Kluyveromyces lactis: one gene and its partners. Each later gene encodes a partner of the first gene's protein in a complex. Links are inferred from orthologs where the notes say so. Each region holds a gene or a part of one and is shown in the gene's direction. Other genes may lie near its edges. The genes, in order: EAF6, EPL1, YNG2, EAF1, PDP3 and SAS3.

Region 1 (2,880 bases):
TTTGGTTTAAGTTTTCTTGGGTTTGAAGATTATCCGGTACGTACATTATTATATTTTTATACTGCCAGTTGAGTGAGAGGTAGGGCAGGTGGATATCGCCATTCATTCGATAGATTCCCACGCATGTAACGATTCGCGCAACGGTAGTCTGCATAAGGTTGTTGCAGATTGCCATGATTGGAAGTTTCTGTCTAATTTGGTCTGTTTGAAAAGGATCTTAGGCCTCACTGTGGTTAGATCGTTTAGGGAGACTGAAACGTCATTCAATATTCTTTGCTCTAAACCCTGAATGTTCGAGGTACTTCCTGTCACTAGAATGTTCGTAAGCAGTAGACTTTGTAGTTGTTCAGAAGTGTAGCTGTGCGTTGGGATGTTCGTATCCTCGTTGTTGTTGCTTTGGTTGCCCGAGGAAGCATTACCCGTCGTAGTGGAGGACCCTGTAGTGTTACTGCCTGCGGTGGACATTGCATTGACACCATTTAATAAACTTTGGATGCATGCTCTGATCAATCCAATGACCCCAATTAATTTCTCCGGATGTGGCTTTTTCTCTATGTCATTGACATCTGCCATTTCTACATCTCCGTTTGCATTGTTACTTACGTGTATCACTGGCTTGAACAAGAGTTCTCCAATGGTGTATAGCTGTTTGTTAGTGAAGGTGAGAGTTTTCTTATCGAGTAGGAAATTTTTGGTCAAGTCCATTGGTGACACCATATGTTGGTAATGAGGAGCCACGTCATAATTAGCATCCAATTCAATCGGAGAAACTTGCAGCATGCTATTCTTGAAGTTGGGTAGCCATTCAGTGGCATCCCTCCAGATTTTCGTTGATTTGCCCGAATCCTGCTTCAAATATTGATCGCAGATCTGCCAGTTTAAGAATGCACCACCGATCTTGTTCTCCTTGCGGTATTGTTTGAAAAGAACACCATCAATGACAACGTCCACTTTCACTCCACTGTGGCCAATGTCCACCACAATTCCACTCGATCTTCCCTGACTCAACGTGTTGCAGACAGCCTCATTCAAAAGTTGGACCATTGGAAAACCGTACCCCAACAGTTGTTCCATAAATCTCTTACGACGCGCACTGTTTAAGTCGGAAGGTAAGACAACACATACTGGATAGTCTTCGAACTGTATGCCTAGGCTTTGAAAGATGTACTGCCATTGAGCATCCATCATATCCCAATCATTTGGAAGTCCGTTCTTATCGTACAATTGGTATATTTCAGCGCTCTCATCGTCGCAATGCTCTATCATTTCCCATTTACCGAAAACTTTAACATCCGATCCATCTCTTTTATAGGCCAAATATTGAGATGGTACAATTAACTGCGGCAAATCTTGGTTGCTGAACCCACAAATAACCCTAGTCTGCGAGATCTGTATCACCACACTCTTCATGGTCGGCATCTTGAACTTGCAATAGATATAACGTAATCACTCTATATGCACCAGAACAAAGAGAAGATCTTCAATTTTCAAAAGCAGATAAGGATTAACTTCTTCAACAGCTACCTGTTTTTGCCGATTATAACTGCTATCAATGGAAAATTATGGCTCTTAAACGGGATACTAGAGTTGATAACACTGTTTATGTTGATGTTTACATGTTGGCTTTTTTTTCGTCGGTTCTTCGAATTTCAAATTCCAAACTGAGTTCCAGTACTGTTACCCGGACTCGTCGCCAATGTTAATATTGTTTGAAAGAACGCACTACTTCAACATCCAATTTGCATATATAATAACAAGAAAGGATGAAACAGACGATCCGCTATCGAACGGATTTGAATCTGGTTTTGATTGTGTTCTACTCTATCGGTAAAGTGATTTAACATAACCTAACACTCATCTCACACAACTATGGACGAACAAAAGAAAGAATACGAGAAACTAAAGAAGAAGCTTCGAGATGCTTTAGTACAGAAGAAACAACTCGAAGCCAAGTGGAATAGTTTAGAGCAAGAGGTATACGATAAAGAAACAGAGTATCTATCACAGAAACCATCTTCCAGAATGGGGAACATTCTGCTCGGGTTTCAGGGTTTCAACAAGAGCAGTTCTGCGCAGCAGATATTGTCTGACCACTCACATTCGTCAAATGCCCAGCCATTGGACGATAATGATCGCATTTTTTCATTAAGTTCGTACCTTTTTGCAAAACAATTGGCTGCTTCCAATCATCAAGAACAAACGAAGTCCAATGATTGAACAGGAAGCTTATCTGTTTGCCCTCTTCACTGAGACATATCCAGGTCCAGGACACCGGACACAAGAGACAAGAGACAAGAGACAAGAGAAACTAAGGGAGGGGGAAGAAAAACGGTATTATTTTACCCCGCATCTATTTCTCTTGAAGCACTCTTTAAATGCTCGTGATAATTAATCACTTTGTAACATTATGTATTCTCTCTTCCTAAAGTATTTTCAATTACTTACCCTTAATTTTTGAGAGGCCTCTTTTTCTTTTCATCCGTCAGATCAACGATCATAGAATCAGTTTAATCAATAAAACTTGCGTCAAACTACTCGTAGAAGCAAAGGATTGAATCGTTTACAGATTTCCAGTCCAACCGAATTGTCCCAATGTCTTAGATGAGACTCAGGTGCTATGTAATGGTGTATGTATGTGTGGTTAGCATGAATTCTAACCTCCATTCTTGATTGTTAATTGGAGTATCACTCAGCCAATCAATTTTCAGAAACTGCCAAAACCTTGAAATTTTCAGCTTCAAAGAATTAGATATTATTATAACAAAAGATAGAGCAGCAATTACACATTCAAACAAACCAATGAGAACAAAGACAGAATCGTGAATTGCTGTCGATTAGGAGCGTTTGAAAAGGTACCCAATTGTTGATCGTTTAATCGGA
Region 2 (4,544 bases), on another chromosome or scaffold:
CGTCTCGAAGTAACTCCATGTTTCGCAATGTGCCATGTGCCTCTTTCAGTTTCTCATCAAATTGTGAAATGGCTTCGGCAATTAAGTTCAATCGAACCTTTATAAAAACCAGGCATTCTTCCCTAGATTTCTCCAAATAGTAATCGTAACCTATATTTTGGAAAAACTTACCATTCTGAAATACTACCTCACCATACTGCCATTCTTCTTCCGAATCTTCGCTCGTGTCAGCATCTCTTATCCTATCGAATATCTGTTCATACAACGGCTGCTGTTCCTTTAAGAAGGTTCTTTTGTTTACCAAATTATCTATGGTACCTTTGACAGTATCCATTAACTCGGCAAAAGAAGCCCCACCTTCTGCTGTTTCCATTGCGTTTCACGACTAAGACTGATTTTCTCAGCCTCTTTACCTGCCTCAGATAACTCACTCTTTCAACAAGCGATGAGATGACTTCATTACGGATGTCAAGTTACTGATTTCCGTTTTTTTTTCTTTTTGGTAGAAGCTCATACAATTTTTGGCATCACCATTTACCTTGACCCAATGGAAGTCACGTGAACAGAAATTCCTATTGTCTACCAAGGTGGTTATGGGAGACGTTCATATTTCCGTAGAAGACGTAAAAAATTTTTTTTTCTTTCCATAAGTTCGGATTTCAATATAGAAAAAACCAATACCCCCATTCACCGGACAAACTGTTGCGTTCCACCCAAACAACCAACATAAAAAGGAAAACCACGCGCTTCAGAACAGTCCGGTGGCTCGTTCAAACCTACTGAGAATCAACCATCAGTAGTGATACTTAAGGACTTTCATCAGTTCTGCAAAATCCGTACCAATAGCTGCTATCTTCAGTCCTATTTTAGATTTGGTCTCCTTGTTTTCTGCCTCCTTCACCGCCACCCGATTGCTTGCCAGTGAAGTTTTTCGCAAAATTTGGCCCCGAAAACAGGAAGAAAATAAATTTGGGCCCCCGTAAAAGAACCAATTTTTTAGAGGGATAATTGTAGTTACCCTTCCTTTCATATTTCTCGCTATTGAAATCTGGAATTCAAAGATCCTTCTTTGGCTTCAGCCGCATAGCTATCAGGGTAACTACACACGGGCATTGACACATTGCAGTATGCCAGCTCCTGCAGTGGATTCATCGAGGTTCAGGCACAGAAAGATCAGCGTGAAGCAACGACTTCGGATCTATAAGAGCCATGAAATTAAGGATTTGGAACAAGAAGATGTTTCGGCCATCAGTTCCCAGCATCAACAGCGAGAGCTGATGGAGATTGAAACTGGTGTGGAGAAGAATGAAGAAAAGGAAGAGCATTTATACAAAATTCTTCAATCCAATCAGCTTCGAGAGAACAAGAAGGATCTATTTATTCCAACACCAGACGCCTCGAAAACTTGGGACGAGTTTGACAGATTTTACCAAGGTGAATTCAAATGTCCTACGAGTTATATCCAGTTTTCTGCACAATTAGAAGATTGCTGTGGTACTTTGTATAATATGGATGAAGAAGACGAAATCTTTTTGGCAGATTTAAATAAATCCCTGGCGGATTCGGTCGAACCTCTAACGGAAGATGAGTTTGAATTAATTATGGCCAACTTTGAGTCTTCCATCAAAGATAGGCAACCCTTCCTGTCCATGGATCCCGAGAGTATACTTTCATTTGCAGACCTAAAACCAACCATGTTGAAAAACGATGTTGGTGATTCTGGCGTAAAAAAGGAACTCGCGAAGGAAATTGGGATGCCTGAAGATGAACCATTCTTGACAATGTTTGACAATAAAAGACCTCTAGGTAAAAGGGAAAAAAATATGGAGACTCTTATCGAATTGTTCGGAGAGAAAATACACGATCATTGGAAGCAACGCAAGATATCACGTCATGGTTGCGATATCTTCCCACAATTGAAATCGGAGCGTAATAATGATAAAGACGATAATGATCCATATGTGTGTTTCCGTAGGAGAGAGCTTCGACAACCTAGGAAAACAAGGCGGATAGATGTTCAGAACTCACAAAAATTGCGACTTCTATGCCAACAATTGGAATATACTAAAGATTTGGCACTCACTGTAGCCAAAAGAGAAAGAGCAGTATTAGAAGTCCTAGAAAACGAAAAGTTCGTCTTCCAAGCGCGAGCCCAATTGAAGACAATGAAGAGAAAGTTAGGCATAGATGCCGATAACGAGGATTTGTACTCGGCAAAGAAACAAAAACTCGTGAGTTCGGTGCGTACAATCAAACAACAACAACAACTTCTTCTTCAAAAACAGCTACAGATACAACAGCAGCAACAACAGCAACTACAACAGCAGCAGGCAGCCATTACTTCAGATTCATCTGTTAAACGTGCAAAATCTTCAAAATCGTCGAAACTTCACAAAGAAGACAGTGGTCTATATGCTGATGAGAAAGGAAGCGAGCCAAAGAAGAAAGGCCCAAAAACTGGTTCAAATAAAAACAAAGAACAATCACTGTCATCTGCGCAGGAAATTGGAGCTCAGTCGCCTGTTGCCAATGTCTCGAATGTACAACAACAGCAAAAACAGGCATCTTCTCAAGTATATGTTAAATTGCCTAACTCTAAGATACCTGATATCGTGTTAGAAGATGTCGGTAAATTGTTGCATTCAAAGGAAAAAAGCACAAGGAAATTTGTTGAAGACAGGATGAGAAAAAGGAAACAGGAAGATGGTGACATCTTTTTCAACCTCACTGATGATCCTTACAATCCTGTTTTCAACCTTTCAATACCAGATAACGTCAGCCCCCAAGATGCTCCATTTTCTTCTGTTGCTGGCTCAAAGTTCGAAGTAAAAACATCCTACTATTCACCTAATCTTCAAAATTATATCACTGGCACTGCGAATGATATAAAGGTTTTTAACAAGGAAGGTGAAGCTGTGGAGAACAATGAGTATAAAAAGTTAGAATTTTTCAATCCATTTGATAACGAGATTCATACTCATTCTCGTGAATTTCCAATCGCTTTCAGACGCCGTCGCGGTCGTTTCAATATGGAATATATTGACCAAAGAAAAACTGATCACAATATTAACGACATGTTATTACAATTTATTGATTTGGATGGAATACAGAAGCAAGAACTCGATAATGATGTTATAAATGTGTATGATTCTAAACTGGATGATTTATCCAGGTCATATTATCACTGGAAATATGATTCCAATTACAACATTTACGGGTCCAAGTTTTCCGACGAACCGGCGAAGTTGAACCAAATTTCAAACGATACTCAGGTGGTAAGATTTGGAACCATGTTAGGATCCAAAGCATACGAGCAACTAAGAGATGCCACCATCAAATATAGACAGGAACAAATCAACAAAAGAAAGAAACTGAATTCCCTGCAACAACAGCAAATGCTACAAAAGGGTCAACAGCCCATTAACAATGCTCCTCATTCACAGTCCTCTTCCCCACCATCTCATCAGGACACTAGGAAGAATCCAGGATCAACTCCAAATCAGTCCAGTCCGCCAAAGAAACACGTTACTCCTAACGCTGCTGCATAACGAAATTGTAAACTTTTGATGACACCAAATCCCATTATAAATATGAACTTGTAATTAGTATTTTCCGCATTCTTATGCGAATCTGTAACAATATAGATAATTCATGTTATTAAGCATCGTGAGCTGCATTATACATCACGTGACTGAACTGACTTCAGCTTCTTTTTTTTTTGGTTTACGCATCTAAAATCGGCATCTTGCATCTAACATTATGTACCATTGCAAGCATTGATTGATGAACTATGCCCAGAATAGTGCATTCACTAGGAACACTAAATTTAGAATAATACCTAGGATACTGGTAGTGGTTTACCAAGCCAGTTGTTAAAATGGTCCAAATTGACTTACCGGCTGAGTCTGCTGTTCGCATCAGGTATCCTACATTGACGAAGAAACTAAGGAAAAGAAGCACGCTTGTAATCATAGTGGGCTTGCTTCTGCTATGCATTATTACCTCCACTCATATATCTCATAATTTCAGCGGATCAGATACACCTAAATGCAGATCAATCTATATGTACCCTTCGTACGCCAGAATTGATGGATTTGATTCAAGACACACTAAACTCGCCAAAAAATACCACCTCTACCTATACAGAGAACAAGGTAAAGATAAAGAGCCGAAACATGGTGATGAAATACAGCTTGATGGTATACCTGTCCTTTTTATTCCCGGCAATGCAGGAAGTTTCAAACAAGCTAGATCTATAGCTGCGGCAAGTGCCAATTTATACTTTGACCATAAATCAACTATTCAAAATTCCAATGCAAAGAACATGGATTATTTCACAGCCGATTTCAATGAGGATTTCACTGCCTTTCATGGGCAAACAATGCTGGATCAGGCTGTATACTTGAACGATGCAGTACGATATATCTTGTCAATGTATGCTCAAAGCGCTGCCTATAAGGAATCCAACCGCCCACTACCTAAATCTGTCATTTTATTGGGGCATTCCATGGGAGGAATAGTGGCAAGATTAATGCTTACACTAC
Region 3 (3,484 bases), on another chromosome or scaffold:
GCTGGTCAGATGCACAGTGCTTCACTGAAAATTTTCAAAAAACCTTTAGTATTATTCTTTCACGTTTTAATAATATGAACAAGCGACGAGATGAGATGAAATGAGATGAGATGAGATGAGGCAGATGCAAACAGGAATACATACTTCCGTACCTCGCTAGATATTATTCTGATATCGGTATTAGGGAGAGTAATATTAGTGTGTGTCATGGGTAAGGCTAAGAAGACCAGAAAGTTTGCGCTTGTGAAGCGGACATTGAATGCAAAGAAGGATTCAAGACTCAAATCGAACCAGGCAAAAGAGGTTAAGAAAGATGATCCTGAGTTGACTAAAAACATTCCACAAGTATCCAGTGCATTGTTCTTCCAATATAATGAAGCTATCAAGCCTCCATATCAGGTACTCATCGATACAAATTTCATCAATTTCTCTATTCAAAAGAAGATTGACATAGTGAAAGGTATGATGGATTGTCTTTTGGCCAAGTGTAACATATTGATAACAGACTGTGTGATGGCTGAATTAGAGAAGTTGGGTCCCAAGTATCGTATAGCGTTGAAGCTAGCTCGTGATCCGCGAATCAAGAGGCTAAGTTGTTCGCATAAGGGTACTTATGCGGATGACTGTATTGTTCATAGAGTGTTGCAGCACAAGTGTTACATTGTTGCCACGAACGATGCTGGTTTAAAGCAGAGAGTGAGGAAAGTGCCGGGGATCCCATTGATGAGTGTTGGAGGACACTCCTATGTGATTGAGAAGCTACCGGGTGTGTTCTAGGATAATATAAAACTGGGATTTAGCATTATACATAGCGGTATGAGTATGTATATATATATATAACTTTTCTTAACAGGATAATAATTGTACATTAGCACAAACGGCTTCTCGCTTATGTCTGTTTCAAGCCTTTTACCAAGTCTGGGTCCCTTCCTGGGGAGACAGAACCTAATTCTACAGGAGATGCGGCAATGGTTTCACCACCGTATTTCTTTCTCAAGTATTGTTCCAATGCAAGTGTGTTCCTGGAATTTGCCTTATAAGCAATCCCAACGATATCACCAACAATGGGAATCAACCCTAATAGGAAATCGATACAGATGTTCCCCAAGAGCTCTGCCTGCAAGGGCACAGGCAAACCACCTTGAATCTTCTGTGCTTCATGGAACACTGTCCATGACAAGTACAAACATATTAGGTCACCGACCACTGGCAAAAGTCCAATGATACCGAGCCATCCAACTCTCATCCCAAATATCTTAAACATCATATCAAGCCTGTAAGCTCTTTTCCTAACCCGTTGCAACACTGTTCTGTCATTTAATGGGACATAATCTGGAATTGCTTTCTTTAGCTTCTTATGCACAACTTGGCTATTTCCAGTCCAAAACGACTTCTTCACAAAAGTAACTTCCTCATAGTACGGATCCTCACCCTCACCAATCTTAATGTCGCCAAATATCTTGTTGGAAATCTTGCGTAGAATAAATGAATAGAACACCATGGTTTAGATTCAAGGTAAAGTTAACAAAAGAAACTGTCGTCGCCTATAATCGTGGTAAATTCGGTCTTTAACAGAGTTCAAATAAGCTCATATGCCAGGACTAGCTTTTCTGAATAATAAATACTCCCAAAAACTAATGGAAACATGTTTGTGAAGTACCAAACCATGTCCCTTTATCATGACTTTTTCTATTTCAAAGCCTTTAAAGCCAGGGAAAGCTTTAAAGCAATCTGGCAAACAATTTTCCATTGAAATAGCAAAGATACGTATGTAAGAGAAGAAGCTGTACAAAGAACGCTAGGCAGGCGCAGTTAGCATTTTGGAAGGCTGTATGGAAGAATGAGTAGCATTAACGAACGACCACAGGACCCTTCGAGTGCGTTGGAGCAAGCTACACAGGATGTTGCGAACTTGAAATCAGAGTTCCATCATATCATGGATGAAATGCAGGTAGCAGATAAAACCCTGGTGAGCTCAAGAGAGCAGTACCTACGGGAGGATTACGTGCTTCATAAACTTGTGAAACAGCATGGTTCGTTGACCAAGGACCCTAAAGAGGGATCCATTACTGAGACGGTAGAAAAAGAGATGAAGCGATGCGGCGATTTGCAACAACAGAAATGCATATTAGCCAATACAGCATTGTATCTAGTAACGAAACATTTGAGCAAGATCAAGGCCAACATCGAGTCACTTGAGGAAGATGGGTTACTTGCACCCTTGGATGATGAGCTTTCGGATAAGAAGGCTGGATCTGTTGATTTAGGAGCTGGAATCGCTGGCCTTGGTAACGGAACGGCTGGATCAGGTTCCAGTTCTGGTAGGAAACGGCCAGCCTCTTCATCATCAGCGAACGGGAAAGGACAGAAGAGAAAACAGCAGAAGAAAGAGAGATCTAGGTCTCATCAGCGTGCAGGAACAGTGTCTCGTGACGTGAGTCCTAACGCTGGTATCGGTAGAGATCCGACTTTCGATGCTTTGGCATATAACGATGATTTGTTCAAGATGAACCAAGGCGGCGAAGAAGACGACAAGCAGTTGTACTGTTTCTGCCAAAGAGTATCATACGGTGAGATGGTGGCGTGCGATGGTCCAAACTGTAAATACGAATGGTTCCATTACAGTTGTGTCAACTTAACGGAACCTCCAAAGGGTCAGTGGTATTGTCCAGAATGTCGACTGGAAATTGCTAATCAGAAACTAAATAAGAAGAAGAAGAAGCAATGATCAACGAAGGTTGGTATGACCCATTCATGGTCTTCACATTTCTTCACTCCTGCCGCTCGTATATATATATATATATCCTCATATGTAAATATTTTCAATTCTATCATGTAATGTATTATTATAATTAGCATTTATTCGATTCTTATTCTATATTCGACTTTGACATCTTGTGCTCTTTGTGAAGAGATGCAGAAAAACAGGCGAAAGCTATCGAAATAGTGGTCTCTGAAAGCGCACCAATAGGCAACATGGCTACACTATTTGGAAAGACGTTGTCTCAGGTTCATCCGAAGCTTCGAACAAATGGTATTGGTATTGCAACTAACCATAGACGCATTTCGCTAGGGTTCGATTTAGTGAGCAGAGACAAGAAGAATCCGTTATTACGGAAGTATTTAAGGAAACGCAGACATCGTGGGTTGAGGCGAGGGTTGCATCCAGATGAGCAAGGTAGTTATCACACTTTGGATGAGGATTTTGGAAGCAGTGTTAGAGAACCGTCTGTTTACGACGATTTAGACGAAGTTTTGGAAGATATAGATGAGTACGATGAGGACGGAGAACCCTTAAGTCGGACGGTGTCATTGCCCTCGAGGGTATCAGAACCAAGCAACGTATCACAACAAAATCTTGATTGGCTCTTAGAGGAGCACGAGAGAAGGTTCTCATCATCGCAGAACAGTGAGAACGACGAAGATGAGGACCTTGAGAATGGGACCTCAGAACAAGCGGATGTAATAGCATATGACGACTTTA
Region 4 (4,634 bases), about 1.3 Mb from region 1:
CTTGACAGCATCGCATGTCATCTTTACCTTTTCGAAAAGAAACTATTCTTTAAATTTGATGCAAACCTGCATTTGGCGAGCTCATCACTACTTTAGAATAGATTCGAGGAAGTTTCAAAGAGATAAACAATAGTTATTAGTTGGGCTTTATTAAACCAGCAACAACACTCTATTTTAGTCTGCAATGGTCCAGGTTGTTAAATTAAGTGCATTATCCAAGAAACGTGCAGTCGATGAGGAATCTGATCTTGACATATCAAGTACAGACTCAAATATTTCAGACCAAGAAAACGGTCAAGAGGAACAAGAAATCATCAACATCGATTTTGATTTCTTCAATGGTAATCCCGACGTTGATTTCCATGCTTTGAAGAATCTGATGCGTCAGTTGTTTGGACCACAGGAATCGAACAGAATTCAACTAAGTGAATTGGCAAATTTAATCTTGGACTCACCAACTACTACCATCAAAACCGATGGTAAGGAGTCTGACCCATACTGTTTCCTATCATTTATCGATTACAAGGCCAACAAAGATAGTGATTATGCCAAATATCTTCGTAAAGTTGACCCCAAGCTAGCTACTTTCCTACAAACTATAGATCAATCGGAGAAGACTTGTTCGTTAGTCTTGAGTGAAAGATTGATTAATATGCCACCAGAAGTTGTGCCGCCATTGTACACTATCACATTAGAAGATGTGAAGCTTGCGCTTGGGGATGATAAAAACTATGATTTCTACCTAATCGTTTCAAGGAAGTACGAAGTGAATTTTGATATGGACGAAGACGATCTAACATCGAACCAAGCTGTCCGCAAGAAGGTAAGACAAACAAACGAAGTAGACTATTTCCATGAAGAAGATCGTTTCCTTGAAAAGCTAGCCAAAGTCCATGTGGATTCCGAGGCGAGAAAGGGTCTTATTACATCGTACATGGTTTTGGACCATGCTGGACTAATTAAATCCATCGAAGATCTAGATGCGGCCATCAAGACCTGGTGAGTGATGTAAATGTTCAGTAGTTACATTGAGGAAGGTGATGATGGTATGTGGATTAATCCCGTTCTGGGAACCCAACAATTAACGCACGTGACCTGATCTTTAGTTACCCTCCTTACATGATTTCGGCCTCCCAAAAGAAAAAAAAATCTTTCAAGGAACAAAAAAATTGCTGAACAACATGAAATACGTACTTATATAGTAGAAATCGAGAAAACAAGCCGTAATACGGTAACAGAACAGGACCGTGAGAACACTATTCGACTCAGTTTCAAAAGTACCTGACACAGAAAAGCCTTGTTTGGTTGGACGATCCTGTTGTTTGTACAGAAGCGTGCTGTTTCCGAGACAAGCCCTCGCTAAAAGAAAAATCAGAGGACCCAGTTTCCTTTTTTTTTTTTTGGATATTTTCCTATCACTTGCCATTCAGACCGAAAGTTATATTTTTTCAACGTGACAGATATTCACAGAACATCTAATAGAAAGTAAGGATTTCAAGGCGATGAGCAGTGCAAGCAAAGGGAATGCTACTGGAAGTAAGAGCCCAGAGCAGCTCTTAGAGGAGAGACGGCACTTGCTAGTACAATTGTACTGTATCTCACAAATTACCGAGTTAAAAAACGTGGAGAATCATGAGAGAATAGGGAAGGAGATAGAAAAGTTTTTAGATCAACATACCTTGATCAAGGACAAGCCTATAGATATTAATGCATTGCCTAAGTTTAGGCCGAGAGACGTGTCGTCAGATAGGAAGCTGAATAACAGGAGTAAGAGTTCTTCACCGTCAGAAGTGAAACGAGAATTGAAGAAACAGCGGTCGAAAGACGTGTCGCCAAGTGGAAGCGAGGAACATGATGTGGATACGCAGACACTCCCGCAGTCTCAAACAAGGGTAGTTCCACGAGTTCAGTCACAGCAGTCAATTCAGCAAAGTTCAAGGCAATCTATGGTGCAAGCGCAGTCATCTCGACAGCTGCAGCAGCAACAACTGCAAAAGCAGCGATCGGTGTCTCCCACACAGAAGCTGCCGATAACACATAATAATGTTCCTCCTGTGGTAGTTCAGGCACATATGGAACCGAAATCTGTCCAATATCCGGAGACCCAATCAAAGCCAAGTACTTCTGGAAAGCGTTTGTTAGATGAGGAACAACAAGATATTTCCGAAAATCAAATAAGTAAAAGGCAACGGCTTGATAGTGGAAACCTATCTAATTCTACCGCTGCACGTAACGCTGCAACAATGGAAATTCCGCCTCATCCTTATTCTCAGATGATAGACATCTCACAATTGCATGCTGACCCAACACCAATTGGGGTGAAAGAACCTCAACCCTATATTATAGAATCTATTATCAACAATGTATCAAAGGAAGAGCGTAAGACGTTTTTCGAAGATGACATAAATGTGAAAGAGGCGGTATACATGATTACGAAAGAGAACGCGCCAACCAAGTTGGCAAAGGGTATGCCCATTCAAGAAATCAAATACTTATCCCAGACTTTGCCCTTGCTGAGATTGATACCACAATCTCAAAAAGCATTGACGACTGATCTGATTAATACTGCATTGAATGAAAGACGAATCACTGTAGTAGCATCAAGGATAGAGGAATTGAGAAGGCTGAATCTCTGGTCACTTAGACAACCAAGAAAATTTATCGATCCCGTTACCGCTTCACAACCTGTAACTCATCATAATGTGTTGATTGAAGAAGCAAAATGGATGCGTGAAGACTTCCGTGAATCGTTGAATTATAAGATAGCCATGTGCACTCAAATGGCACAGGCAGTTATGGAATTTTGGACTTATGGTAAAGTATGCTGTATCAATTGTAAAAGTATTCCACCGCCATCAAAGGACATAGAAGATATTGCTTCCTCCCAAGATATGGGAACAAAAATCAGTACAGTTGAGCCAGAACAAAAAGATAAAGAATCAAACACAAGTCCTGATCAATCCAACGATGATGGGTCTTCTAAAATTGCTGAAGATGTGGAGATGTCAGAGGATGGTGTAAAATCAAGTACCGGTTTAACTGATGGGAGTGAAGCGGTGGAAGAGAAGTCTGAAAATGGTATCAAAGAGGGGGACAAGGAAACTGATAAAAACTCATCTGAAGAGCCTACCATAGACATACAAAAGTTACTAAAGAGAGTTAACCCCAAAGATGAAATCGTCGCTCCATCTCTTCCGGTTACCTCCATGGAAGTTTATTTAGCTAAGAAATCATCCTCTCCCTTCAGGAATTACATTGATATAAAGGAATTATCAACACTGGGAGCAGCCATTTCAAACTCACTCCCTTTGTATGGTCTTTTGGACGAAAAGAATCTCGATTCTAGCAGACCATTGCCCTTTGAACCGGTTTCAAAGGCAATTTCTCCTCTTGACGAGGACCATTTCATGAAATTAGTAGAAAAGCAATTTGTTGACGAAGAACCATCTCTAGTTCCTTTATCAAAACGACGTGGTATGTTTTATGGAAATAGACGTAGCCATTATCTTCGCCCTCCTAATGCGCCATCATTACGCTATTTGAAATTTCGTACACCCACCATCTGGTTACCTGAAGATGATCAGGAGCTTGTCAAAAATATAAACCAGTATGCCTATAACTGGGACCTCATTAGTTCTCAGATGTCCAATCATCACAAAAGAGAATATGTTTCAAACATCGAACGTAGAACCCCTTGGCAATGCTTTGAGCGGTTCGTTCAACTAAACGAAAAGTTCAACATTGCAGATATGAAGGGTCCAAAGGCTCATAATGCACAAATATGGTTGTACGAAGCTCATAAATTACAGCAGCAGCAAAAAAGGAGAATATCTCCCCTTGGTGTGGGATCGGAATCCATACAACGAGGACATAGGCGTTTACGCTGGGCAAGTATGTTTGAGGCAATGAGAAAGTGCATTAAAAAAAGAGAAAACGCACCCAGACCAAATCCTTCGCAGCCGCGTAAACCTTTTGATGTTAAGAATATGAGTGTTCCAACCCCTCAAGAAATGTCAGACTTAAAAGCTCAGCGTGATGAGGCCTTGAGAAGGGATATGCAAATAAAACGTGCTGCCAAACAAAGGATGCAGATGGCTCAATTGCAGCAAGGAAAGCTTCCTCTCACTACAGCATCAAGTCCGAATTTGCCTATGGCAAATAATCCTAACTCAAAGGATTCAAGAATTAGGTCTAAGCAGTCCACTCCCCAGAGTGCACCACCACTAGGTGAAAAAGAAAAGGTTACAACTCAAACTCCCACACAGAGAAATACGAAACCGGCTAATAAACGTGAAATCATTGAAGGATATGCCAAAAAAATACTTTTTCAGAAACCCAATTTCACTCCAGAACTTGCTCTAATGGCTGCTGAAAATATTTACAGGAGCTTGCCATTGTCTGATCAACAAAGGAAAACTGTAATTTATGACAATGTTGCACAACCGAAAGTGCGTCCACCAGAGATGAAACATTCTTCTCCGACGCCTCAAGAGATTTTGCAACGTGCTCAGAAAAAGTGAATACAATTAATAATATATAATCAGTTCATAATCACAACATTGATTCAAGCAAAGAATTACGAATAATGAGTCCTTTTGTTATAATCATTATTTCAATATATATATGTATGTAAA
Region 5 (3,275 bases), on another chromosome or scaffold:
ACGAATTCTCCGAGGTTTTCCAAAAAATTAGATTGTCTCAGGGTACCACCGACGAAGAGTCCAAATGCAACGGTAAAAAGAACGGTAAAGTTGCACCAAAGAAACCTGCAAAAAAATCTGAACTTAGAAACCCTAAAGTGAGATCATCAAGACCTTCGTTACCATCTGATGACGATGCTTACAACAGCAATGATGATGACGATGACGAATATGACGAACAAAACGAATTTTTCGCTGTAAGAAAATCGCTACGTAAGACCCACACAGCACCATCTCGTCGTGATATCACTCCAGAAGCAGTTAAAGCCAAGTCTAAACTGAACAAACCTCCTTCTTCTATCAGTTCTGTAGAAGAAATACCTGAAGCGATGGCAAAGAGGCAAGCTCTTTTGAGATCCTCAACGGAATCGGAAATTGAAAAGAAATCCTCTTCATCATTAAAGAGCCTACAAAAGCATGGCTCAAAGTTCCAAAAGCAACTGATTAAAACAATCAACAGTAGTCAGGCCTCTCTATCGGCATTGGCGTCGTCAACTGCATCATCTGCAAACTCATCATCTGACGCATTGAATGCGAAGACAAAGAAAATGCTAACAAAGGTACGTTCTAAGGGTCCAAAACGTAAGCTCCCAACAGACGTCACTAAATTGTAAATACCTCCTTATTCATATTAACTCGAACCACAAACTAGTTGCACAATCCGGCAAAAACGCATTCGTCAACTGCTAATGTGCGTTCATTGATCTTGTAAAGTTACCCTTCTAAATACGTATGCCTTTAATTCCTAATTACTTATTCCATTTTCCGACCTTAAAGCTTTTTTTTTATCCAAAACAAAACAATCAATTATTTCAAATTATATTCAATATATGCTTCTTGAGCAGTTGATATGGAATTTTGATTGCCGAAGTTCCCATTCATATTTCGTCCAAACAGTCTTTCACTGGTCAGAACACACGCAGCTATTACTGTGGTGTTGTGTGTGAGAAAAGTGATTACTGGTAGCTTAAGAGTTTTGTTTTCGTTTTCATCTCAGTTCATTTAGGGAAGGAGGTCAAGTTAATTCTGTTATACGGCCTCTTCTTTCCTTTGCTATTTGTGTTGCCAGTGCGAAGTTAGAGCGTAAGATTTTAAAGCTTCTATTCTAGCGTTTAGCATTCTTTCTGTCGAAACCGTTATTTGTGTTTACCTATTGAGTGCTCAAGAAACTGAGAAAGAGAGATATCAGAGTTTACTATTTGATCTTTACGCCCTGACATTTAGGGTTTTAGTTTCCTTTCCATTATACTTACAGATTTTACCAATCCGAATACACAATCTATTTAAGCAAAATATGACAGACGGGCTTTTAGTTACTGGTGACCTGGTTCTTTGCACCGTGGGCAGTTACGAACCATGGCCAGCTGTAGTTGTTCCTCAACGGATATTGAGTAAGAGTGTGCTGAAGGCGAAGGAGAACGTTGGTCAAGTTGCTGTGGCATTTTTTAACGATTCTACCTATTATTGGACTAAACCAAAACAGTTAAAACTTCTTACTGAGGAAAATATAGAAGCGTGGATAAAATCGCCGCCCAAAAGGTCTTCGAAAGAGTTGAAGAAAGCTTACCAGTTTGCATCCGACTATACGAGTTTGCAAGAGTTTGTCGAAGACAGGTTGACAGCGGAGGGAAGAGCGGATGATTTGGAAACTATCGCTGAAGTTAAGATGGGAGAGGACCCATTACTTTCCAATATTGAGTTAAAACTGGAAGACACTAAATCTACGGATAAAAGACGGGGCAGAAGAAGAAATGAAAGCGAATCAGAGGATTCTACCTCCAATAATAACAGTAACGGAAGTACCAAAGCTAAAAAGTCGCCCAGTAGTGGAAACAAAAATAGAGACTCACCGGTATCTACACCTGTCGCAACATCTGTTTCAGATTTCAAGAAGAAGAGGGAAAGCTCATCAGAATCTCTCTCGACATCTCCTTCATTCGTACCAGAAGAACCTCCCAAGAAACGCAGTAAGCTTGACTACTCACGTAGGGTAGAGATTGCTCAAATATTCCGTAACAAATTACAGAAGTGTTTGGTTCAACGAGATACCCCACCAACAGATGCAGATCTTGCCGAGTCTGATAAACTCATGAGGAAAATCCTATCACATACTAAATCAACACCGGAATTCTTTGATTTAGAAGCCCTTAGGGTATCCAAATTGCATAAACTATTAAAAGTCATTTCTAGTATGCCTGAATTATCACAGTTTCACGAATCTTGTAACACTATATTGGAAGTGTGGGCACCTCATGTTCAAAAGATCAAAAAGGAAAAACTGAAACTGAAGGGTTCGCTATCCCCATAGAGTGGATCACAACTGTCACTTTTAATATCTTCGATTCATAATAAGAGCACAAAAGAACCGTTCAAAAGGAAAGCACAAACAATGCATTACTGCTTTATAACAAATTCAATTCAATTCTGACATTATTCTCATGTAAAATCTATCACATTAACCTACATAATCTCATCCCTACCACCTCTCCAGTTACCTCACCGTACCTATTCCTTCTTTTCTTGGACCCTTCAATCATAATGTATCATTATTTACGTTTATCGCTCTGTTCCCCATCAATTGTTATTATTAACAAAATTGCCAAAACCTTTAAAATGACTTTAAGGTAGCAAAATTGTGCACTTCATTACAAACATCAGACATCTTTCCCATAAGCTAGCACATTAGGGAACCGATATTTTAATTATATTTCCTGTAAATTTTTATTGTTTATCAAATACGCCAAGTATTACTTCAATAACTTTCAAGTTGTTATGTCCACTACCGTTGATTTGCCAGAGCATTTAGTATCTTTGCTTAAAACATCCAAATATGTTCATTTAGCCACAGCTTCTAAAGACTGCATTCCTAATGTTTCATTGATGAACTACACATATGTGCTTCCTCATAAAGCCTTTCATGAAGAAGGCTCCAATAGTCATTATGTTATCTTTGCCACATCAAAGTCTACTCAAAAGTATAAGAATATTATTGCTAACCCATCTGTATCTCTTTTGATCCATGACTGGGTCACAGCAAAAAAACTATCTCTGAGGAAAACAAGTGTATCCAATACTCCAGTGCCAGATTCTAATGATTCTGAAGAACAACCAAGTAGGTTGCTCAACCTTTTGCAAGAGTTGAATCAATCTGAACTATCACAAATGTCAGCCACGCTATCAGGTACAGCGACAGTTATTGATCCATCATCTGAAGAATCCGACTACTATGAAAAGCA
Region 6 (4,443 bases), about 1.2 Mb from region 1:
TGTGCCAAGGGTAATTGGGGTGAAATGAAGTTGCCGTTGGTTGTTGGGCATGAAATCATTGGTAAAGTGGTTAGACTTGGTGATAAGTGTGATACCGGTTTGAAGGTTGGTGACCGTGTTGGTGTTGGTGCACAAGTCAGTGCTTGTTTGGACTGTAACCGTTGTAACAATGACAACGAACAATACTGTCCAAAATTCGTTACCACTTACTCTCAACCATACTTTGAAGATGGTTATGTTGGTCAAGGTGGTTACGCATCTCACATCAGAGTCCACGAACATTTCGTGATTCCAATCCCAGAATCTTTAGAAACCAACAATGTTGCACCATTGCTATGTGGTGGTGCCACTGTGTATTCTCCATTGAAGAGAAATGGATGTGGCCCAGGTAAGAAAGTCGGTATCGTTGGTATCGGAGGTATTGGTCACATGGGTATTCTATTAGCCAAAGCCATGGGTGCCGAAGTGTACGCCATCTCTAGATCCCATGCCAAGGAGGAAACATCCAAGCAATTGGGTGCAGACCATTACATTGCCACTGAAGATGAAGGTTGGGAAACCAAGTATTTCGATACATTGGATTTCATGGTTCTATGTGGTAACTCATTGTCGGCCGTTGATTTCGGCAAGCTACCAAAGATTTTGAAAGCTCAAGGTGTTATTGCATCCATTTCTGTCCCTGATCAGCATGAAGCCATACATTTACATCCAGCGCAACTTCTAGGATTCCAGATTACTCAATCTTGTCTAGCATCTCGTGCAGAAATCATTGAAATGTTGAACTTGGTGGCTGAAAAGAAGATCAAACTATGGGTTGAAACGGTTCCAATCAGTGAGGAAAATATCTCCACAGTGTTCAAAAGAATGGAAAGCGGTGATGTTCGTTTCAGATTCACACTAACTGACTTTGATAAACAGTTTGACCAATTCAAAGCCAAGAAATAGGCGTTGAACTGTATAAATTATATAGATGGTTGACACGTTGTTCATAGCTTAAGTCACTTATATATACATACTATGACATAAACGTCAAAATGGAAACACACATAAAATACAACCTACAATTTATACACATTGCAAGGAACGGCTTTCATAAACACCAGAGGACGGTAAGGGTACAGTAAAGTGCATGAAATGCAGTCACTGTAGCCAAGGTTACCTTTCCAGTAACCGAAAATTTCTCGAAGAAGAGCAACAAGATCATGGGAAATATTTGCTAACTGAGCTGGTATGAAAGATACAAAAAAATACAGATATCACGTGACCATCAAGAAACCGAAATTTTTGATGCAGCAGTAACATGGATCTGTATTGTTTTGCTTCATTTCATAGGAGAAAGAATGATATAGGCAACCGGTTTTTGTAAATGTAAGACCTAGATTGCTTGCTGTTAGTTTCGTTTACTATAACTCGGACTTTGTGAGTTCTTGTGAGAATGTGTTTTTAGAATAGACATTCTTCTCTTCTAAAACTAGTAAAGGTACTATCCTCTCTATTTGTTTACCTTATATTGAAAGAAGAAATAATAATTCATCAAGTGGCAGTCATCGCATATTTAAGAATGACGACTTCTAAGCGAAATAGACTGCTGAAGGAACTTCTGATTGATGATAATATACATTCCAAAGTACAGGCTGATTTATGGGACGCTGGAGATGGTGGAGTACGACGGAAACGCACCAGAGATAGACATGACAAGTCGTCGGATCATATAGGCTATAACGGTGCTGATGATTCTGGGGTGCAACCGGAGAAGAATAAGGACAAGAAACTTAAAACGATTGTTATACCATCTGATTGGAATGAGATGAACAGCCATGTGCAATTTTCAGACGATCGTAGAATTATTACTATCAGGTATAATCCGTTGAAGTTGCTTGATTTCAATCAAGTGTTGAACAGAGGCAGCGATCTCGACGTAAAAGTACCGTCAATTCCGCTAAATGGCATTGACTTTGAGATATATGAAACTGAAAATTTGTTAACATCTCTTGATAACGATGCTCAGTTCCCTTATCGTGGCGCAATTGAAAATAAGCAGGATTATACAACTCATAGGACCATTCCTCGTGTCAAAGATAGAGAGTTTTTTCTAACTTTGCTGCGTAAGTCCCAAACAGCAGCTCGTTTCAATGGTAACACACTCCTGGCATTTCCAAATGATGAAGCTCATAATCAAGATAAGAAACGGTTAAAGCCAACAGCTTTGATGCATTCTGCGAAGACAACCAACGTGGAATATGTTTATTTCCAAAATTATGAGATCAAAACTTGGTATAAGGCTCCCTACCCTGAAGAGTATAACAAGAACGAAATTATCTATATTTGCGACAAGTGTTTGAAATATATGAGTTCAAAGTATGTCTATTATAGGCATCAGTTGAAATGTGATTATATCCACCCGCCAGGAAACCAAATTTATAGAGATATGGACCAAGGGTTCGCCATTTGGGAAGTAGACGGAAGAGAGAACGTTATTTATTGTCAGAATTTATGTTTACTAGCGAAACTTTTTTTAAATTCGAAAACTTTGTATTATGACGTGGAACCCTTTATGTTTTACACCATAACAGTATGGGAGGACGAAGAATGGAAATTTGTTGGATATTTTTCTAAGGAAAAGCTAAACTCAACTGGTTATAACCTAAGTTGTATTCTTACTTTACCACATTTTCAAAGGCGCGGTATCGGACATCTACTGATGGACTTTTCATATCTCTTATCAAGAAGGGAATTTAAACTAGGCACTCCCGAGAAACCTTTGAGTGATCTTGGTTTGGTATCTTATCGAATATACTGGAAAAATAAGATGGTGCAAACGCTTAATATGTTATTTGAAGAACTGGGTGATTCATTCGCTTGTACCATAGACGACTTGTCCAATCTAACCGGTATGAATCATTCGGATGTGATATTCGGCCTGGAACAGATTGGATGTCTATACAAATACAACGATGAAGCCTCAGGTAAATGCAAATATGCAGTGAAAGTAGAAGATTGGGATATCTTGTGTCAGTTATTTGAACAGTCTAGAGCGAAAATGAAATATACTTTGGACCCTTCCAGATTTGTTTGGAAGCATGTCATTTTCGGTCCTTCGTGTGGAATCAATGCCGTTGGAACCATGGTAGAAACAAATGTTAGCCAGCAAAGAATTACGTCTGCCGCTGGTTCAACAGCTGCTGATCCATTCAAACAAAGTATATCTGTTCTAACGAATTTTATGAGTGACGATTTGGCGGATCCAAGAACGATGGAAGAAGCTGCAATGGAAAAGATTAAGCAACAAACTATTCCTGTATCCTTGTCTGATAAATCTTTAGTTCGAGCATATACACTTCCAAGCAATATCAAGGAAAAAATCATTAAGGCAAGCAAAATAAAACCTGAATTCAAACAACTCAATACGAAGCTCGGGGGGACTATTCCAGCTCTCAATGAAGGTACACCTTCTGGCGATGCTTCTGATGCCAAAACACTGATCAGCGGAGGTATGCACGATGATATAAATGGCGATGAGCAAGAAATTGAGGAAGAGTTTGAAGAGGCAGACGGTTTAGAAGATGAAGGTTTCTCGCTAGATGATGCAGAAGCTGAGGAGTATTCAGATGATGATGAAGATGATGATCAAGTGCCACCGCCTCCAGAGGAAATAGCGACTCCTAGGGTCAGTAGATCTCTAAGAAAACTCAGACAGCACAATCCCGTAGAAAATGAAGTTCAGCAAAGACCACAGAGAGTCTTACGGAATAGAGTTTGAATATTAATTAAAGGATAACCTAATCATAGTAATGCGTGGCCATGACATGTGTTTATGAGAAGAAAACTGATAATAGTGTAATATCTAATATATGCATGTATATATGTATATGATTGTAAGAATAGCGAAAATTAATGCCATCATTGATATAGCAGTAAAATGTAAATAACAAAACAACGTAATAGTACGCACTTTTCATTTAAGTGTTTATGCAAAAGGAGCAGCCCGTGTCCCTTTGCTATAATAAACTGAATAGGGACATTATTATGACAAAAAATAACCATATGGTACAGTTCAAATGATTTGGCATAAAGATAACACTGTAACAGTATTATTGATGTTCTATTGTAGTTATAGTACTTGTACAATGGGGTCATAATCAGGAAAGTGTGTGCGTTTATGTGATAGTAAATCAACGACAATGATGATTGAAGTAGCAGCGACTGGCGCCACGATACACTTCGGGGTTCATGTTCATACATGTCTGAAAGTGGTTTGTAAAGTAGTTTTTTAAGTTTTTGGTTCTTGATAATGGTATTAATACAGACAGTTTATCATCAAACAATGTGCTTGAATATCGTATTCAAACTAGGCAGTGGCTGAGTTGGCACTTGCGGTAGTCGATGGTTTTGTGGTGGTTGAGGAGATTGCGATGAATTCGGAGTGAACTGGGGCGTTTGTTC

The links.
Region 2: the proteins of EAF6 (region 1) and EPL1 are in contact, whole or in part, in a crystal structure (PDB 5J9U), measured with the Saccharomyces cerevisiae proteins. The link is inferred for Kluyveromyces lactis from reciprocal best matches to the Saccharomyces cerevisiae genes EAF6 and EPL1. Residues at the interface, in NP_012615.3 of Saccharomyces cerevisiae: Glu4, Leu5, Ser7, Tyr8, Leu11, Lys12, Glu14, Leu15, Lys16, Ser18, Leu19, Asp21, Arg22, Arg23, Gln25, Glu26, Thr28, Phe29, Asp30, Leu32, Gln33, Glu35, Ile36, Lys39, Glu40, Tyr43, Phe44, Tyr65, Gly67, Asn68; in NP_116629.1 of Saccharomyces cerevisiae: Arg333, Ala336, Leu337, Glu340, Leu341, Asn343, Ala344, Asp346, Leu347, Ala348, Leu350, Val351, Lys353, Arg354, Val357, Ser358, Asn360, Trp361, Asp364, Glu365, Lys367, Ile368, Gln371, Arg372, Lys374, Ile375, Leu378, Lys379, Ser381, Leu382.
Region 3: the proteins of EAF6 (region 1) and YNG2 are in contact, whole or in part, in a crystal structure (PDB 5J9T), measured with the Saccharomyces cerevisiae proteins. The link is inferred for Kluyveromyces lactis from reciprocal best matches to the Saccharomyces cerevisiae genes EAF6 and YNG2. Residues at the interface, in NP_012615.3 of Saccharomyces cerevisiae: Ile69, Ile70, Gly72, Phe73, Asp74, Asp92, Ile94, Phe95, Leu97, Ser98, Ser99, Ala100, Thr101, Lys104; in NP_011958.1 of Saccharomyces cerevisiae: Ile11, Val14, Leu17, Pro18, Phe21, Arg22, Leu25, Ile28, Gly29, Asp32, Leu33, Ile36, Lys40.
Region 4: EAF6 (region 1) and EAF1 share a complex: the UniProt entries of both Saccharomyces cerevisiae proteins name them as parts of the nuA4 histone acetyltransferase complex. The link is inferred for Kluyveromyces lactis from reciprocal best matches to the Saccharomyces cerevisiae genes EAF6 and EAF1.
Region 5: EAF6 (region 1) and PDP3 share a complex: the UniProt entries of both Saccharomyces cerevisiae proteins name them as parts of the nuA3 histone acetyltransferase (HAT) complex. The link is inferred for Kluyveromyces lactis from reciprocal best matches to the Saccharomyces cerevisiae genes EAF6 and PDP3.
Region 6: EAF6 (region 1) and SAS3 share a complex: the UniProt entries of both Saccharomyces cerevisiae proteins name them as parts of the nuA3 histone acetyltransferase (HAT) complex. The link is inferred for Kluyveromyces lactis from reciprocal best matches to the Saccharomyces cerevisiae genes EAF6 and SAS3.

What each region holds. Positions count from the first base shown.
Region 1 is NC_006041.1:567,207-570,086, forward strand, and holds EAF6 (Eaf6p), read left to right. Parts: upstream 1-1,869; coding exon 1,870-2,217; downstream 2,218-2,880. Other genes in the region: ARP7 (Arp7p), read right to left, coding at 103-1,419. UniProt on the Saccharomyces cerevisiae protein: Component of the NuA4 histone acetyltransferase complex which is involved in transcriptional activation of selected genes principally by acetylation of nucleosomal histone H4 and H2A. The NuA4 complex is also involved in DNA repair.
Region 2 is NC_006042.1:2,337,215-2,341,758, reverse strand, and holds EPL1 (Epl1p), read left to right. Parts: upstream 1-1,127; coding exon 1,128-3,548; downstream 3,549-4,544. Other genes in the region: BUD27 (prefoldin-like protein), read right to left, coding at 1-373; BST1 (Bst1p), read left to right, coding at 3,878-4,544.
Region 3 is NC_006037.1:629,816-633,299, reverse strand, and holds YNG2 (histone acetyltransferase YNG2), read left to right. Parts: upstream 1-1,840; coding exon 1,841-2,728; downstream 2,729-3,484. Other genes in the region: rRNA-processing protein FCF1, read left to right, coding at 208-777; KLLA0_A06996g (DUF4112 domain-containing protein), read right to left, coding at 890-1,501; KLLA0_A06952g (uncharacterized protein), read left to right, coding at 2,977-3,484. UniProt on the Saccharomyces cerevisiae protein: Component of the NuA4 histone acetyltransferase complex which is involved in transcriptional activation of selected genes principally by acetylation of nucleosomal histone H4 and H2A. The NuA4 complex is also involved in DNA repair.
Region 4 is NC_006041.1:1,912,747-1,917,380, forward strand, and holds EAF1 (Eaf1p), read left to right. Parts: upstream 1-1,502; coding exon 1,503-4,520; downstream 4,521-4,634. Other genes in the region: protein-transporting protein BCP1, read left to right, coding at 185-1,003. UniProt on the Saccharomyces cerevisiae protein: Component of the NuA4 histone acetyltransferase complex which is involved in transcriptional activation of selected genes principally by acetylation of nucleosomal histone H4 and H2A. The NuA4 complex is also involved in DNA repair.
Region 5 is NC_006038.1:945,782-949,056, forward strand, and holds PDP3 (Pdp3p), read left to right. Parts: upstream 1-1,333; coding exon 1,334-2,347; downstream 2,348-3,275. Other genes in the region: BSP1 (Bsp1p), read left to right, coding at 1-653; KLLA0_B10824g (pyridoxal 5'-phosphate synthase), read left to right, coding at 2,812-3,275. UniProt on the Saccharomyces cerevisiae protein: Histone-binding component of the NuA3b histone acetyltransferase complex. Targets the NuA3b HAT complex via histone H3K36me3 to the coding regions of actively transcribed genes to coordinate transcription elongation.
Region 6 is NC_006041.1:1,770,217-1,774,659, forward strand, and holds SAS3 (histone acetyltransferase), read left to right. Parts: upstream 1-1,561; coding exon 1,562-3,760; downstream 3,761-4,443. Other genes in the region: KLLA0_E19889g (NAD(P)-dependent alcohol dehydrogenase), read left to right, coding at 1-945; KLLA0_E19933g (SANT/Myb-like DNA-binding domain-containing protein), read right to left, coding at 4,318-4,443. UniProt on the Saccharomyces cerevisiae protein: Catalytic component of the NuA3 histone acetyltransferase complex, that acetylates H3K14. The NuA3 HAT complex has 2 functionally distinct forms.